Tribolium castaneum: one gene and its partner. The protein of the gene in region 1 binds, or shares a complex with, the protein of each later gene. Links are inferred from orthologs where the notes say so. Each region holds a gene or a part of one and is shown on either strand. Other genes may lie near its edges.

The links.
Region 2: IntS2 (region 1) and IntS4 share a complex: the UniProt entries of both Homo sapiens proteins name them as parts of the integrator complex. The link is inferred for Tribolium castaneum from reciprocal best matches to the Homo sapiens genes INTS2 and INTS4.

What each region holds. Positions count from the first base shown.
Region 1 is NC_087401.1:16,829,000-16,832,973, reverse strand, and holds the start of IntS2 (integrator complex subunit 2), read right to left. Parts: upstream 2,813-3,974; 5' UTR 2,697-2,812; coding exon 1-2,696. Other genes in the region: RpS27 (small ribosomal subunit protein eS27-like), read right to left, coding at 3,233-3,487; Arc42 (short-chain specific acyl-CoA dehydrogenase, mitochondrial), read left to right, coding at 3,840-3,974. UniProt on the Homo sapiens protein: Component of the integrator complex, a multiprotein complex that terminates RNA polymerase II (Pol II) transcription in the promoter-proximal region of genes.
Region 2 is NC_087398.1:12,616,357-12,620,303, reverse strand, and holds the start of IntS4 (integrator complex subunit 4), read right to left. Parts: upstream 2,806-3,947; 5' UTR 2,719-2,805; coding exon 2,665-2,718; intron 2,612-2,664; coding exon 1,863-2,611; intron 1,809-1,862; coding exon 1,441-1,808; intron 1-1,440. UniProt on the Homo sapiens protein: Component of the integrator complex, a multiprotein complex that terminates RNA polymerase II (Pol II) transcription in the promoter-proximal region of genes.

The DNA of each region.
Region 1 (3,974 bases):
AGCATTTGAACAGCTGCACTTTCCTGTGCTGCAATGGTCGCCCGACACATCTCCTCTCTATCACTCTCATTTAAAACTTGCCCCGCATGATCCAATCTCGGATTAGCTTGCAAATGTTGCATTAGTTGGCTGCGAGACGACGCGAGACTTGCTCTCAACACCCTCAAAACAATCGCATATAAAGGGGCACAGCGAAAAACACGCTCATCGCATCGCATGATCTGGAGAGGATCCTCAGCGACATCGATTCGTGTCAGGTTTGAGAAATCATCGACTAGGTTTTTGACGGTTAGAACCCACAATCGGCGGGGAAGTACCGTATTAAAGCGTAACCATACGTCTCTGTACAGGTCTTGTAAGTAGCGTGGGACATTGTCATTTAGGATCTTGCGGGCGAATTGTGTGAAAATCTCGGCAAATGGCCATATATCTATGGCTTGCTGTTTGAGTAAAGTTTGCATAAGCTTGGCACACTTTGATGGGTTAGTGTCCAAGTCATTGAAAGCCTCAATGACGCTTATTTGCGTCACGTGGGTTGGCTTATGCTCCGTTTTGATGGACATATCGTCCAACCAATCCTCCACTAGTGTCAAGTGGGGGAAATGCGTAGCTAGGAGTTTGAGCAACGGCCCGAAAAGACCCGAATAGGAGCTTTGGTCTTTTTGGGCGTGGTGTAGCAAGTATTTGATTGGTAGTTCCGATAAAAATTCGGAACTATACAACTTGATTTTGCGGTTAAACGCGGCCAAAATGTGGGCGTTAACCAATCGACAGTCCTCGTACAGGAGGAGATAGTAGAGGAGGAGGAGTTGTGGGGTGAGACTTGTACCATCCACCACAACGTCCTGATTCTCACTATTTAGGTCAAAATCCATGGTAAAAATCGACTTTTTGTGGTCGAAATACTGTCCAAAGATCGAACTTTGAAACACGCGCCGTATCTCATTCTCACTCAACGGCTTATTAGTCTCAGTGTTCCGTGAGGTTGGCATTATAACACTGTTAACGTACACTTCCACTAGCATTGGCAACACTGGATGTAAGGGACTAACACTCGTACAGATCTGCTTATAGATCCAGTTTTTTATATTCACGTTGTGTTTGGCAAACGCGCGCGATTTAAGCAACTGATGGATGCAATGTATGGGTAAAAACCCGGTCATATTCGCACTTAACGAGTTCGTAACCGGAACCTTAACCGCATGTGCGGTTACAACTTGTTCCGTGAAAATCTCCTGCGTGAAGACTTGCTTCATCCTTGTCATGTTGTTATGTCTGATGGGGATTTTCATCCCCAAAGTGGCACACACCAAATCACAGATGGCACTCAACTGGTTACTATGAAAATGTATAGCCATCAGTAGTAACATTTCGCCAAAACTGGCAGTAACGCCACTGGCCGACTCAAAATACGCCTCCTCCTTCACCAACCATTGCACCCACTCGATGCTACGTCGCTCGTGCTCTTGCAGCGAAATCAGCGAGGGGCAGGCAATCAACATGCACAGACCAATGGAAACGAAGCGAACGCCCGCCGGGGTGGGGCTTGGGTGTGACGTCAACAGACGCACCAATGCCGTGACTTCATCCTCCTGAAACTTGATTGCTGCGATCCCGCGAAGCGCACAATAGAGGCGCAAGAGGGCGGAGCCTTGAACCACGAGACTGTCCAATAGGTGGCCTTCGACAGAAGCGGCGAGAATCACGTGCAAGCGACGTAACAACTCCTCCCTTAGTTGCAAAAGGGCGGTGCTTGAAATCTCCCCCTTCTTTTTCTGTCCAGTCCGGATAAATAACGCGATCCAGTTGCGTATTGTTTGGTCGTTGCCTAGCAACAGCCCGGAGATGAACGCCACCATGTCCCCCTCCCCGCCGTCCAGAGATAGTGTGATTGCGAGCGCGGGCATTCGGCACAATTCGACGCACTTGCTTCGGATTGTCAAAGCCTGGCTCGGATTCATTTTACAGAGGAGGGAAATCGTGGCGGCTCGGACTGTGCTCAGTTTGGTTTCTTCCTGTTTTTCCCCCGTTTGGATCAAGTAGGTGCAAACCTCTCGGAAGCAGTCGGGGAAGTTCGCCACGATTCGGCAAATGATGGGCGGGCCGTTGTGCAAGTGGAGGAGGGTTTCAGTGATTGTCAAAATGTTTAGAGTTATGGGGAGTTCAGCCAAGGCTATGCAGATAATATCGGACAATTCCTCGGCGAAAATGTCGTTGTCGAACAGTTCCGAGGGCTTGATGTAGCTCGTGTCCGAGTTTTCGTCCTGGATTTGGCTCTGGACGTAGAGTAGTTCCCCGAGTAAGATGCTCAAACGGCGGGTCATGTCGCTGCGTTCGTACTCCAAGGCCATGCTGGTGTTTGATAAGTTGCCGATCAGGATCGAGTCGTTCTGGAGGGCTACGCCCTTCTGGCGCAGCTGCTGCTCCTTCTTGACCTCGGTTTCCAGTCGATGGAAATCGATGGAAAGAAGGGCAACGATCGAATTGACCAGTTCCATCCCGGACACGATTGTGAGAATGTCGACCTTCATGGTGGTGCATTTTTTCGACGTGTCGAGGGGCGAGATGAGCCCCATTCGCACGAGACAGGGCAACACGGGGCGGATCTCCACCTCGGTGCATTCGGACAGCTGGTGCATGTCCACGTTTTGGATGGCGCGGAACACCTTGGGGTCCACGCCTTTCTTAAACGACATTTTCACGCACAAACCGGCTTTGTTTACGGCACTTTTGGGGTTATGTGCGCTCTCGCGACAGCGATCTACTTTACCGGCTCCGGCTTGACCACGATTTTGAATAAAACGATAATTAATACTTGATTGTTTTATTTATTGAGGCTGGTTGAGGGGTTTTGGCTTTAATTGCGCCCTTTGGGGGCATTCTACGGCTTGGATAGTCGTTAATTAATTGATAAGTGTGGTTATGTTTTTTGACAAGTGTCAACTGGCCTAACGTGTCTCAACTGGTCTGAACCTGCAGTTATTTTTTTTGTGGATTTGGGGCCAAATGACATGGTTGAATGAATAGATTGCGACGACTTTTTGGTTTTTGGTCTTGTGTTTATTGATTTTTTGGCACTAGGCCAATTTCCGGGCGCTAGAACATTGCACAATTTTGCTACATTTTCCCTTTTTTGCGTGTAAGAGATAATAAGGCCATTCGGTGGCTGGAAGGATGAATGAAAAAGCGGCTACTCCCAATAAAATTTATTAGAAAAAATGAATACACTACATTAATGTTGCTTTCTCCTGAAGCTGCAGCCCTCCGTGAGTCGGGCTTTGCCCCCGGTGGATGTGCACAGGATGGTGGAGCACCCTTTGCAGGGGACTGCAGACTGGGCATGGGAGAAGATGGTAGAGATGGCGTAACATCCTGGACATTTTACGTCCATGAAGTAACTATTGGGATGTTGCACCAACCTCTTCTTCTTATGCGATTTCTTCTGTTTTTCGGCAGAAGGGTGCAATAAATCGACTGCTAACGGCATCTGGAAAAACACAAACATTGCTCAAAATACGCCAAAATTTCACCACAAACACTTGACTAGGCATGTTTTTGGTCGTTTTACGCTTTTACGTACGTTTTTAAACGCTTGGGACACTCAAAAAGGCTGATTTTTTCCACAACGCACGTGGTGACTTCGGCTATCAACCGTGTAAAGGAAAGTGACAGATGACAGGCGGTACCACCATAACGCCGTCTTACCAACACAACGAGCCGAAAGAACCCGCCTTAATTGATAAATAAATAAATTATTGATTGACCATTTAACCGTGCGCCCCTTGGACTCAATAAAAACGTGGCTCTGACTTTAATGGGGGCCCATTAATTCGTAAAAAATGCAGCTGTCAGTTTTGACAGCTGACCTAACCTTGGAACCACTTACGGAATTTTTACTAAACAATTTAATAATCAACGAGCAAAGTACACGTCCGTGTAGTTTACAGTACATCATGTTCGTTTTCACGCGAATT
Region 2 (3,947 bases), on another chromosome or scaffold:
GGAGTCACTTAACTCAAAACGCTAAGACAGTGCGATTTTATATCCAAGGGGGACACTTAAATATTTACTTTGTGTTCGTACCACTTCAACCCCCAAAGAGGGGCTGCCTGTAATTATATATTTTTTTAATGGAAACAGGGGTTAATTATGATGTTATTTTAAAATCTATTAAAACCTCTTTACAATAGGGAAAGTGCGGGCAAGACGGGGTACTTAACGTTTGAAGCTCTATAAAATTTTTGTATTATTAATTATCCTTGGTAATTAGTTTTTTGTGATTAATAAGTTTTATTTGGAACCTTTATTAAATATAAAAGTGAAACAAAGTAGAAAAAGTCCTTGTGGGTAAGATGGGGTACCCCTAATTTCAATTTCACTGTTGCTCTCGATTGATGGTCTAATCTTAAAATCTTTTTCTTTTTGAACACTCTTTTTATCAACCCCAGATTTTTCAGTTTTCCTTTAGCTCTGTAATTTTTATTCTTTTGCTTATTTTCCAAACTTTGTTATGGTTTAAGGTTTTTTATGAAGAGAGGAGTTTTACATATTACTGTTACGAGCAAGGTCTCAGCCCGTCTTGCCCTCTTACGGCAAATTGTGTTAGAAAATTAACTTCCAAAAACTATGTTGTCATCTACAAATAAATAGATGTTAACCTGTTAGAAAAATCATTGACATATGAATAACCATAAAAGCAATTTGAAATTTTGTTATTAACAAAACAGACACGTACTAAAGAAAGTGAAAAAAATCATAAGAAAATCGCCAAAAACAGGTTTTTTTCATAAAACTCGCAAAAGGCATGGTGGTATCGTTCAATTAAAAATCTACAATTAAAAGCTGTCTTAACTGGGCTTCGCCACGTACAAAAAATGATTATTAGTCAATTAGTTTATTATTTAAAGCTCATACCCCGTCTTGCCCGCACTTCCACCAAGTGTTATTTTTTTTATTTGGTATAAGTTTTCTAAAAATTTCTTTTTTTTAATTACAGTTTATTTATTAAATTATTTATTTGAATGTTCTAAATGGCCATAATTTTTTTAGTCTTTATGAACCCCATAAATTGTAAAAATCGAGTCCAAACATCGAAAACTTGGGTGAACTGTCTTCACTGAACCATCCTGTATATTTTCTATTTGTTTTCCTTAGGAACAGTTTCATTCATTGTTCTTTTATTCCCAATGATGTCAAATTTAATTTACTATCTAATTTGTGAGCTTATTAAATTTTTTAAATACCATAATACACTAATTGGCACATAATTGATGATTTTTTTTAACAGATATCTGCTTAATGATCAAAGAAATTAAAAAAAAATTGATCTAAAGTTCTTTACCACTACCTAAAAGTCCACAACTGTATTATTACCAATAAGTCAAAAAAAAGTAGATAATTGTAGATAAAAATTATGACACTCGGCTTTGCCTCGTCATTTACCCATAAACTCGTCCTCCAAGCCGTGCACGAAGGCCCCACACGCCCCACTGCTCATCAAATTGATGCTGTCAGCGTCGAGGATTTCCCTGGGGGCGTCATCGGCCCATTTTTTCCCACTCGCCCATTCTCCACTCGTTACATTTTCCCAAGCCAACTCATGAGCCGTCCTTTTGCGCCTCATATTAGACATTAATTTTTTATCAAGAGTTTGGTTGAGAAATTTCGCACTGACTTGTTTCATCGTTCCCAATAGTTTAGCCGCCAAGGTTCGAACATGGATTGATAAATCAGAAATCGAGTTGCAAACTTTACCGAAAGCGTCGTCTATGAGACGGATTTCGTGTTCACTTCCCGGAAGTACAACCTCACTGAAATTTTTTCAATTAAATGTAAATAGAAGAGAGGGTTTAGGCTAAGCCTACTTTTCCGGAAACGTGTTGCCCAAAAGACACACTAACTTGAGAACGACTTGACGGACAATTTCGTAGTCGTCCTTTAAGGCATCGCAAACATCTATATAAATGTCCGGATTTATTTTAAAATTGCGCTCATGTAGGGTGATAATCGTCGAAAAAGCCTGACTACGCACCCTGGCGTCGTCGTGGTTAAAGTACGAACTAATCAAAACCATTAATTTCTCCGCCTCTGCCCCCGTACAAACCGGCGTATGCACGCCAATGATCTCTAGACATTTCCTCTTGACAGCATGACTGACATCTTTCAAGTAACTTTTCGCCACTTCTACCAGTTTCTGATGCAAAGCGATGACATTATCAGAGACCAGCTTCCCTAATTTAAGCACGGTATTCATCCCCTGAGCGATAACTTTATGTGAATGGTCATTTTTAAGCAACAAAATCGTCTCGTCAATAATGGACACAACATCAGCGTTGGGTAGATGCCCAATGTCGCACAAAAGTGACAAAATTTTTACTCTAACGGCCGACTCTGGCTCATTCTTAAAATGATCGCTCAGTTTTTTAACTGCTTCGGGAATATCTGAAGCCTCAAGCTCGAAAGTATCAGAGACACGAAGCAAAGTTCGTAGGGCTTCGCTACTGCTTTTGCAACCTTCAAGACAACTAATAAGTGCCAAAGACGAGTTCCCGGTGCCTGTGGAAGGCTTCTTGACAAGTTTGAGTTTTTTAATCGGTTGGAAAGGAACAGTTTCCTGGAATATGTAAACATAACCTCATTTTGGACAAAGGGAAATTTAGCCCATACCTGGATTGTTTGGGTGAATTCGGCCAAAGCGCGTTTTTTCAACACTGCAGCCATCGTGTTTATGTGGTAATTAACCGATTTTAGCGTTTTTTAAACATTTTATTTTGTGATTGTTGTCAAATGTCAAAAAGTTACGCAACCGCCACCTGGTGACAATTACATAAAATTTGGTTTTTTGATTTTTTTTATTTATGAGCGGTAAAGGTATTAATTTACCGCATTTGTCGGTTTCTGGCATTAATTCTAAATTATTGTTTTGTCCAATTAGGTAATTAATGCTATTTTGTTGTTGGACCGAATGACGGTTTGTTTGTGCCAATGGCGTATCGTTTGGGATGGGTTTGGGGGTCGGGTTAAACTCATTTGTTTTAAATAATGTTTATTTGTAATAAATTCACAATTATATAATAAAGTTATAAAATGTAAATATATGAATCTAGGTATAAAAATACTTTATAAAATCAATAATAAAGAGGAGATAAAATCTGATATAACTATACATAACGTAATCTGAGTATAAAACATGTTCTATGGCGAATATAAACAAAAAAGTTTATATAAAGTGTCTGGATGTACATATTTTTCGTACGTATATGTAGTCTATTTGAGTATTGTCTTTCAGAGAGAACACAGTTGGAAAAAAGTTGGCAGTTATGGGCCAAAGAAGCAAGCAAAAAAAACTAAATTGAATGAGATCCAAAATAGAACAAAAAACATAATAATAATATAAATCCCTTTACCATGGCAAACTGTCATAAATAAGAATTACGAACATTTACAAAAAACATCAACAAATACTGATTATAATACAAAAATTAGTAAACAAGAGCATTAAGTATGATCGATTTACAAAACAATTGTAACATTACGTAAACATTTATAACATAGACAACAATTGTAAGATGGTAAGGATTAGAAAATAACAAATGACGCGACTCGGTCGCATTTGTACTCACATTTGTAATGTGTACAACAAATTATACTATTTAATCAATATACAATAAACATTTTTATTTTACAAAGTGAGTATTATAAGGTAAAAAGGTCATATAATGCCTTGACATATGGTAAACTGAAGTTTTTTCTTCCTAATCACTAAGCGCTAGCATTAAACTAAAAGCATCTGAAACTAAATTAAATGCTTCGTTGAAGCACTGCGGAGTAACCTAGAGCAGAGTGGAACGATAATACTTTTAATTATTAGGAAAAAAACTGAACAGAAAAAACAAACAATTGTAGATTCCACACTGCGAGTAACAAAGAAACTAATCATACGATAAATA